Rattus norvegicus: one gene and its partner. The protein of the gene in region 2 purifies or fractionates together with the protein of the main gene of each other region. This does not show direct contact. Links are inferred from orthologs where the notes say so. Each region holds a gene or a part of one and is shown on either strand. Other genes may lie near its edges.

Region 1 (3,681 bases), on a different chromosome or scaffold from region 2:
GGCCTGTGAACCTAATTAGAACTTTTACCCAAAGTCATTAACAATCGGTATTTCCATTAGTTGCTATGAAACAAGTTGAGCTTTTCTTGCATTTTCCTAAAAGTAACTCCGCCCTGACAGACCAACTTGGTTAACAGAAAACACCCCTCCCTCACTCAATTCTAGATTTCCAATTCATAATTTACAAAAATAATGCAAGTATTCAAGTATTAATACTTATGCAAAGATAAGTTTATTAAGATTAAAAAAATAACATCCAGGACAGAAATAACCATGGAATCTGCTGGGTGTAGCCTCTCCTTTATAATCTCAGCACTTGGCCTGAGTGAGTTCCAGGCAGCCTTGGCTCCATAGAGAATTCCAGCCTAGCATTTGCTAAAAACTAAAACCCAAGCCAATTAAACAAAAGCCATCAGCTACAAACAAAATGACAACCATTTTCTGGAGTAACAAGGTTAATTACCATCATTTAGTGTGGTTCCAAATTATTGGCCAAATGCACCACCTGAACCAACATCAAGAAGCACCATACTTTAATTATAGTTAGTGCCAAAAGAATGTTTGAGTTTTCCTAATACCAGGGGTCATTTATAACCATTTTAACTTTTTTTTTTTTTTTTTTGCAAGCACACACGTATTGGTACCCATGTCACTGGCTTCACATATAACTTCTACCGGCAAACTTGTAAATTTCCCCCTTCTTCCTGCTTTGATAAATATACAAGCTTTATTACCAAAATAATGCAAAAATGCTGAAACCAGTCTACTATAACCTAGAAATTTGATCAACCTTTACCCAGCATCCAAAGTCAAGATAAAAAGGCAGGCATTAACTTATTCCTGGTTCTGACCACAGTATTTCTGTAATTCTCATAATCTCAAAACACACCAACCAGTCAGTGTCTCCATTAATTCGTAGTCCAGCACTGACTCGAGGGGAGGCAAACCTGCCCGTTCAATGTCAAGCTCATTGAGGACAGCGGCCACCTCCTGAACCAGCCTACAGCAAGTACGGTTCTAGCTTTTCAGAAGAGGTCCAGAGGGGAGAGCACTACTTTCTCCTCTTCCCTCCATGGTGCGGCACTCCTTTCTTCTTGCCACCTAAGGCAGGTGGCCTGGAATGCTTCTTGCCTCCCAAGACTCCTTTCCTTTTCTCTCCCTGACTCGGTGGACCGCCCTTTCTCCTGCCCGAAGGTCCTTGCCGGCCCCCTTTTTTCTTGCCTTTCTGGCTCATTTTCCTCCTCTTGGCAGCCTCCTCTTGGTCCTCTTCCCTCATCTGCTTGTTGGTGGCCCTCGTCACGTCCAGCTGAGGTTTCTTGCTGTTCATGACTCGAAGTAGCTCCAGTTGGTTTTTTTTCTCGGCTGCAAAGTCCCCAAAGAGGGGCTGAAACTTCCTCTTCTTGCCGGAGCCCCGGGGCGCTTTCTCCTTGGGGAGGCGCTCCTGGAAGCGTCCCACAGAAGCGGTGGAGACCTTGGCCACTTGCATGGCGCGGCCCAGCTCCTCCTTACTCTGGTGTCCCGTAGGGTGCAGGCCGGCTGAGCTGGGCATCTGCATCTTGTGCGCGCGGGCCAGGTTCCGCAGTCGGTTCAGCTCGTTCTTGGCCACGCGTTCTTTCTTAGCCCGAATCCTCTTGGCGAACTGGTCTTCCATGGGGTCTGCGCTCCCAGGCACCTCGATCAGCCACTCCTTAGTGTCATCTCGGGCACGTTTGTAGCCCCAACGGCGTCGCCACTGGCCACTCACCTCGTCCCACACGAGGTTGGTCTTCTTCTTGGGACGGATGCCCTTAAGGCGCGCGAACTGCTGCCAGCGGGTGAGCGGTCGTGGCCGGGGCAGCGGCTTCTCGCGGGGCAGGCGTGTGGCGGGCTCAGGCAAGCGCGCTACCACCGCCTCCTCCACGCGCTCGGTTGGCAGCTGCCATAGTTGGTTGACAAGAAGCTGCGTGTTGTCCCGCGCCAGGGCCCGCAGCTCGGCCTCCGGCGAGGGTCCGGCCTGGCGCAGCACCGTCGGGGGGTTGCGGTCCGAAGCCAGCAGGTTGCCCAGGTCGAACTCCAGCTCCAGCTCCTTGTGCACCGTGATGCGCTGCAGCTTCTCCGCCTCCTCCTGCTTCGCTTTGGCCAGCAGCTCCTCCACACTCTGCCCCTCCATGGCTCTCGCCGGCTCCGTTCCCTCACTTTGGGGCTGCAGCGGAATGCTTTGCTACTATGGCAGAGCCCAAAAACCAGCCACCACGTGCGGACGTCCGGACTCGTAATCCGGAAGAGAAAAGCTCACTTCCGGGAACCTGCTCTCAACTGGGCGGTGAGGGAAGGACCGGCAGAGGGCGGCATTGGAGAGCAGATGGGCTTAGAGGCGGGACTTGGACTCGTAACCGGATGTTGGCTAGACTGGCGCTGAAGGTTGGCTGAATGAAGACTAACAAGCGCAAGGCCTGGTTGGGACTACGTTTCCCAGCATGCCGCGGGGTAGGGGCGGTCGCTGTAGGAAGCGGGCTGCTCAAACTCTTGGAACTGCAGGCGGGCGTTGTAGTTTCCAGATGGAGTTTACACAACAGTACTTGAGGGTAAATCTATTACAGAAGTGTATGGACGACACAAATTATTTCCCCAGAGTTATATAGTCCGTTTTCTGTACTCTAGGTGTGAGCGGAGAGAGATCCCACACAGATCCACAGGAATAGAAAATTGGGCAGGGCGCAGGGCGCAGGGCACAGGGCACAGGGCAGGGGGCAAGGCAGGGGGCAGGGGCAGGGCAGGGAGCAGGGAAGGGGGCAGGACAGGGCAGAGGGCAGGGCAGGGTAGGGGGCAGGGCGCAGGGGGCAGGGCAGGTGGCAGGGGGCAGGGCACTGCAGCCCCAGCCCTCGGCCAGCCCTCGGCCAGCCCTCGGCCAGCCCTCGGCCAGCCCTCGGCCAGCCCTCGGCCAGCCCTCGGCCAGCCCTCGGCCAGCCCTCGCCCAGCCCTCGCCCAGCCCTCGCCCAGCCCTCGCCCAGCCCTCGCCCAGCCCTCGCCCAGCCCTCGCCCAGCCCTCGCCCAGCCCACTACACATGGTTACTTTGATCAGTGCAACCAGTACTTAAAGGGATTTCATCAGTCTTTAAAAATCACATTAACTTAGATTTACTTTTTAAAACATGAAACTAAATAACTTATTTGTCGTGCTGTCACACATATATGGCGGTCAGAGGAGAAATTTCTTAAAGTTCTGCGAATTGAACTGAGGTTGTCAGGATTGGGAGCAAATGCTGAGCAAATGTCAGGATTGGGAGCAAATGGGAGCAAGCAAGTGAGCCTCCTTCTTGGCCCTTGCTTTCTCAATGGTGCTCAATTTCATCTCCTTCTGGGAATTATGGTAGGAATTATTAAGGATGATTCAGCCACATTTTAGATCTGCAGTTAACATTTTATTTTCACTCTCAATATTTTTGTTCAAGAAATCCAGAACACCAGTTAATTTGATAAAATATTAGCTAGGGGCACTTAAACCACTTAACTCACCTTCACATGGTTCAATTTTACTGATTCGTGATTTTCTGTTGAAAGTATTTCAATGAGGAGTTTTTAACACATTTCACACAAATGCATAAGGGGTGTGTGTGTGTGTGTGTGTGTGTGTGTAAGCCACAGGACAGTGGTTCTCAACCTTCCTGATGACCTTTGAATACATTTTCTGATGTTCTGGTA
Region 2 (3,811 bases):
AGGGTCTGATACATATTGAACAAGTGCTCTCTGAGTCACATCTCAGTCCACAGCTACGTTAAAAAGCAGACATCGGGGGTTGGGGATTTAGCTCAGTGGTAGAGCGCTTGCCTACAAGCGCAAGGCCCTGGGTTCGGTCCCCAGCTCCGAAAAAAAGAAAAGAAAAGAAAAGAAAAGAAAGGGAAAAAAAAAAAAGCAGACATCTGCCATTATATGCATGACTGCACCTGTTCTAAGAGTTGTCACATAAACCCATGAAGTTCACTGGTCATTCTGTACTTGTTGCTAGCCAGAAAAGCTGTTGGCAGGACAGTGGGAAGATGGCCTTTCTGCTTAAACTTTTCCAGGTGGTAGATAGGGTCTTAGACCTCTGGGTGTACCTGTGCCCCAAGGCTCACGCCAAGGACTACTTGGAGAACACCATACTGGACTTTGACATCTTAGGCCAAGCAAAGGACATAGGAGTGAGAAAGTACCTTCAGCAGAGTAGCTTTAAGAACATCCTCAATGGGCAGTTGCTGGGCTGCCAGACTGGTTTGCAGCAAACTGAACGCCCTTAGCCTGGATCCCTTAGATCCAGCAGAGCTTTTCCCCTTACCTGCAAGAGAAGACGCTTCTTGCTCCTTAAGGGAAGGTGCTGAGTGCTCTGGCGGAAACCAGCTCTGCTCTTTGTGAAGTGGTAGCACAGGCGGTCAGCAGACACAGGCTCTGCAGCACACTCACCCATTCCAATGATGCTCTCTCTCCTCCGAACCTACACCCCTGACTCCTGCCCTGTATCTGACCAGTCTACGTCAACACACAAGTGCAGGACCAGTCCCTAGTAGTCCAAGAGGAAGTTCTAGTAGCTCACATGCCACAGGCCTGCAGCCATGGCTCTGAGAACGCTCACCAGAGACAGAGTCCCTGCTAAGCAGAGACTTGATAGGCTTCATAACCCCATCCCACTGCCCCTGGATCGAGGAGTCACTGCAGGACAGGGTGGCGGCGACAGCAGGATGGTGCTAAGCATACTCGTTGCAGTGGTGTGGAGTGGCGGCTGGGGCACGCCGGTCTGCAGCAATGCTCTCCCATTTCCGTTTTACCATGATGTAAAGCCTCATTGCTGCTTGGGCATCTTGGACCTGGGGGACAGAAGCATTGTTGACCACCCAGCTAGCGAGAACACATGACTACAGGCCACAGAAGTAACCCTACAACTATTGAGTCTTCATGCTAGCCACGGCACTGAGGCTGCAAAGCCAAGAGAGACACGAACCTCCCTGTATGACTATGGTAGGGCAGTGAAGGAGAAAACCATACAAAAGAAATGGTTGTAGCAGAACCTGAAGCTAACTCTTGTGCTTCAGACTCAGCCACTGTTTATAGGGGCAGAAAGAGAAACTCCATAGCAGGAGGAACCTGGAGCTTCACAGCAGACACAGCTGAGACATGCACAAGGGCTCAGAGTCAGAGGCTACCACAGGGGAACCTGCTCTCCTGAAGCAGACTGCCTGGCCAGAAGACCCTCAAGTCACAAAGTCCTAAAGCACCTGTGCTAGGGTTTGGAAAGGTCCCCCCTGCCCCCCAGGTTATCAGTGTGGCAATGTAGGGTAGTGGGACCTTTCAGAGCTGGGGTCTAGTGGGAGGTCAGATGGCACTAGAAACACAAGGTAATCCCCGGGGCGCCAATCAGTTCTGCCAAGAGTGACCTGTTTCTCCTTCCTCCTTGGCATTTCTCCAATCAGCTAAGCCTCATTACCATGACATCCCCAACCTCAGGTCAGTAACGGGAAGTATAAAGTCTTCAACTGCTCCAAATCTTTACAGTATTTGACTCTTTGCATTGAGTTCAAGTTAAATGCAAATATTTAAGATACAACAACATTCTGTAAGCCTGCTCTGCCTGGGGTCCTTTCCTGTTTCTATGGTCAAGTGAGACATCCCTAGGTGTTAGCGTCAGATGTCATCGCCCATCGATACTTACTGAACAATGCTCTGCCTGTTGGACCCTGAGCCCCAGAATTTTCTCAGAAAGTTGTTTCAGAGACGGCCGTGCACTCTGTAGAGGAAAGAACACCACAATGTGCTGCTTCCATAGGCTTTGCCAAGGAGGACACAATGGCTCCTAAGCACACCCAAGTGACCTACAGTCTTCCTTTCACCAGGAGTAATTGTGGCACTTACCGCCGTGACCACCAACCTGCTATGGCTTACAACATTGCTCAGCAGCCAGTAGAGGAGCTGGGGGTCAGCAATATTCCAAGTGGTAGAGGAGTGCTTTAATTATTGTGGTTTTGGGGTTTTTTTTGTTTTTTTTTTTTTTTTAAAGATAGGGTTTCTTGTAGCCCTGGCTGTCTTGGGACTTGCTCTGTAGACCAGGCTGGCTTCAAACTCATCCGCCTGCCTTCGCTTCCTTAGTGCTAGAATTAAAGGTGTGTGCCACTACACCTGACTTAATTTTTTTTCTAGTTCTTATTTGTTATACAGAGGTATGTATAGCTGCACGTTGGCATATGCACATGATTGCAGGGCCTGAGAAAGCTAGAGATGCCAGGGTTCCTGGAACTGGAGTTGCAGGGATTGTGAGTAACCTGACACAAGTGCTGAGAATTGAACTCAGGTCCTCTGCAAGAGTAGCACTGAACCATGTCTGAGGACAACCTCTTCTGCCTTCACAGCTGTTCCAGGGATGAAAACCAGGTTGCCAGACTTCTGTGACAAGCGCTCTTATTAAAGATTAAAATGAGAAAAATAAACTGAATCCCTTTAGCCAGGCGGTCAGTGCCAGGAACTAGTCATGGCCCACGACTCATTCATTACATACCTTTACTAGACTCCTGAACGGTTTGAATTTTTGGGTGTCCCTGATTTTCTTTTTCGGATGTTCAAGGAACAGAACCTAGAAGAAAATGACAACTATCTCCATTTCAGTCTGCAACAATGCCCCCCTTTCCAGATACCACCTCACAGGGCACCACAGGGTATTAACGCTCAGAAAAAAGCAGTTTCCCAAATTAATTAACTGACCTAAGGTGATGCCCACTACGCAGAACCATGTTAACAAGAATAAAATCCTGGCCGGGTGTGTGGCGCACACTTTGAATCCTAGTGCTGTGGAGGCGGAGGCAGGTGACAAGCTAAGACCACACAGTGAGACCCTGTCTCAAAAACAAAAGTAAAATCTGGACACCAATGATGTTGAGAAAAAGTCAGCCGGCCACCGACTTCTCTGAGCTGATTGTTCCTGGGGAAATAAGTCATGAAAATCAACAGCTCGTCCTGCAGTGTAACAGCTTCTAGACTCATACAGTCCAAAGAAGTGACCACTAGAGGAGGCAGGTGTGGCCCTGGTGGCAGTCTTCTCTAAGGTGACTCATTATATCAGTGAGCAGGTGGCTTTGGTTAATTTTTAATTGTTGACCATTTGTTATTTCCTTTCTTGGTACAGGGATGAAACCCAGGGCCTGATACACATGAAGCACACATCCTGCCACTGAGCTAACACACAGCTCTAGCCCTGAATATTTGAATGGGAATTAAACTCCCATCTAGAGGTTCCTCAAACACATGAATCCAGTGACACTACAGTCACATCGAGGAAGGGCAATGTCCACTGTCTAATCGCAGACATCTAAAAGGGCAGAAGCTAGATGTCACATGACCTAGCACTGGGCAGTCATGTGAGCTCAATCACCTACTGGCTGGTTGTGTGGCCAGCCTGTAAAGGTTGGACCGGCTGGAATGGCACCCCGAGGAGACACATGCCTATCCAGTTCCTTTCCTATAAACACAGCGGAAGCAGCAGCAACATGCAACTCAGAAACTCGGG

What was found.
Region 1: the proteins of Rexo4 (region 2) and Rrs1 purify together in Homo sapiens (co-immunoprecipitation; 3 studies listed by BioGRID and IntAct, with this or other methods). This does not show direct contact. The link is inferred for Rattus norvegicus from reciprocal best matches to the Homo sapiens genes REXO4 and RRS1.

Annotation. Positions count from the first base shown.
Region 1 is NC_086023.1:14,515,699-14,519,379, forward strand, and holds Rrs1 (ribosome biogenesis regulatory protein homolog), read right to left. Parts: upstream 2,239-3,681; 5' UTR 2,150-2,238; coding exon 1,052-2,149; 3' UTR 605-1,051; downstream 1-604. UniProt on the Homo sapiens protein: Involved in ribosomal large subunit assembly. May regulate the localization of the 5S RNP/5S ribonucleoprotein particle to the nucleolus.
Region 2 is NC_086021.1:30,678,778-30,682,588, forward strand, and holds part of Rexo4 (RNA exonuclease 4), read right to left. Parts: intron 2,882-3,811; coding exon 2,807-2,881; intron 2,042-2,806; coding exon 1,967-2,041; intron 1,125-1,966; coding exon 1,005-1,124; 3' UTR 1-1,004.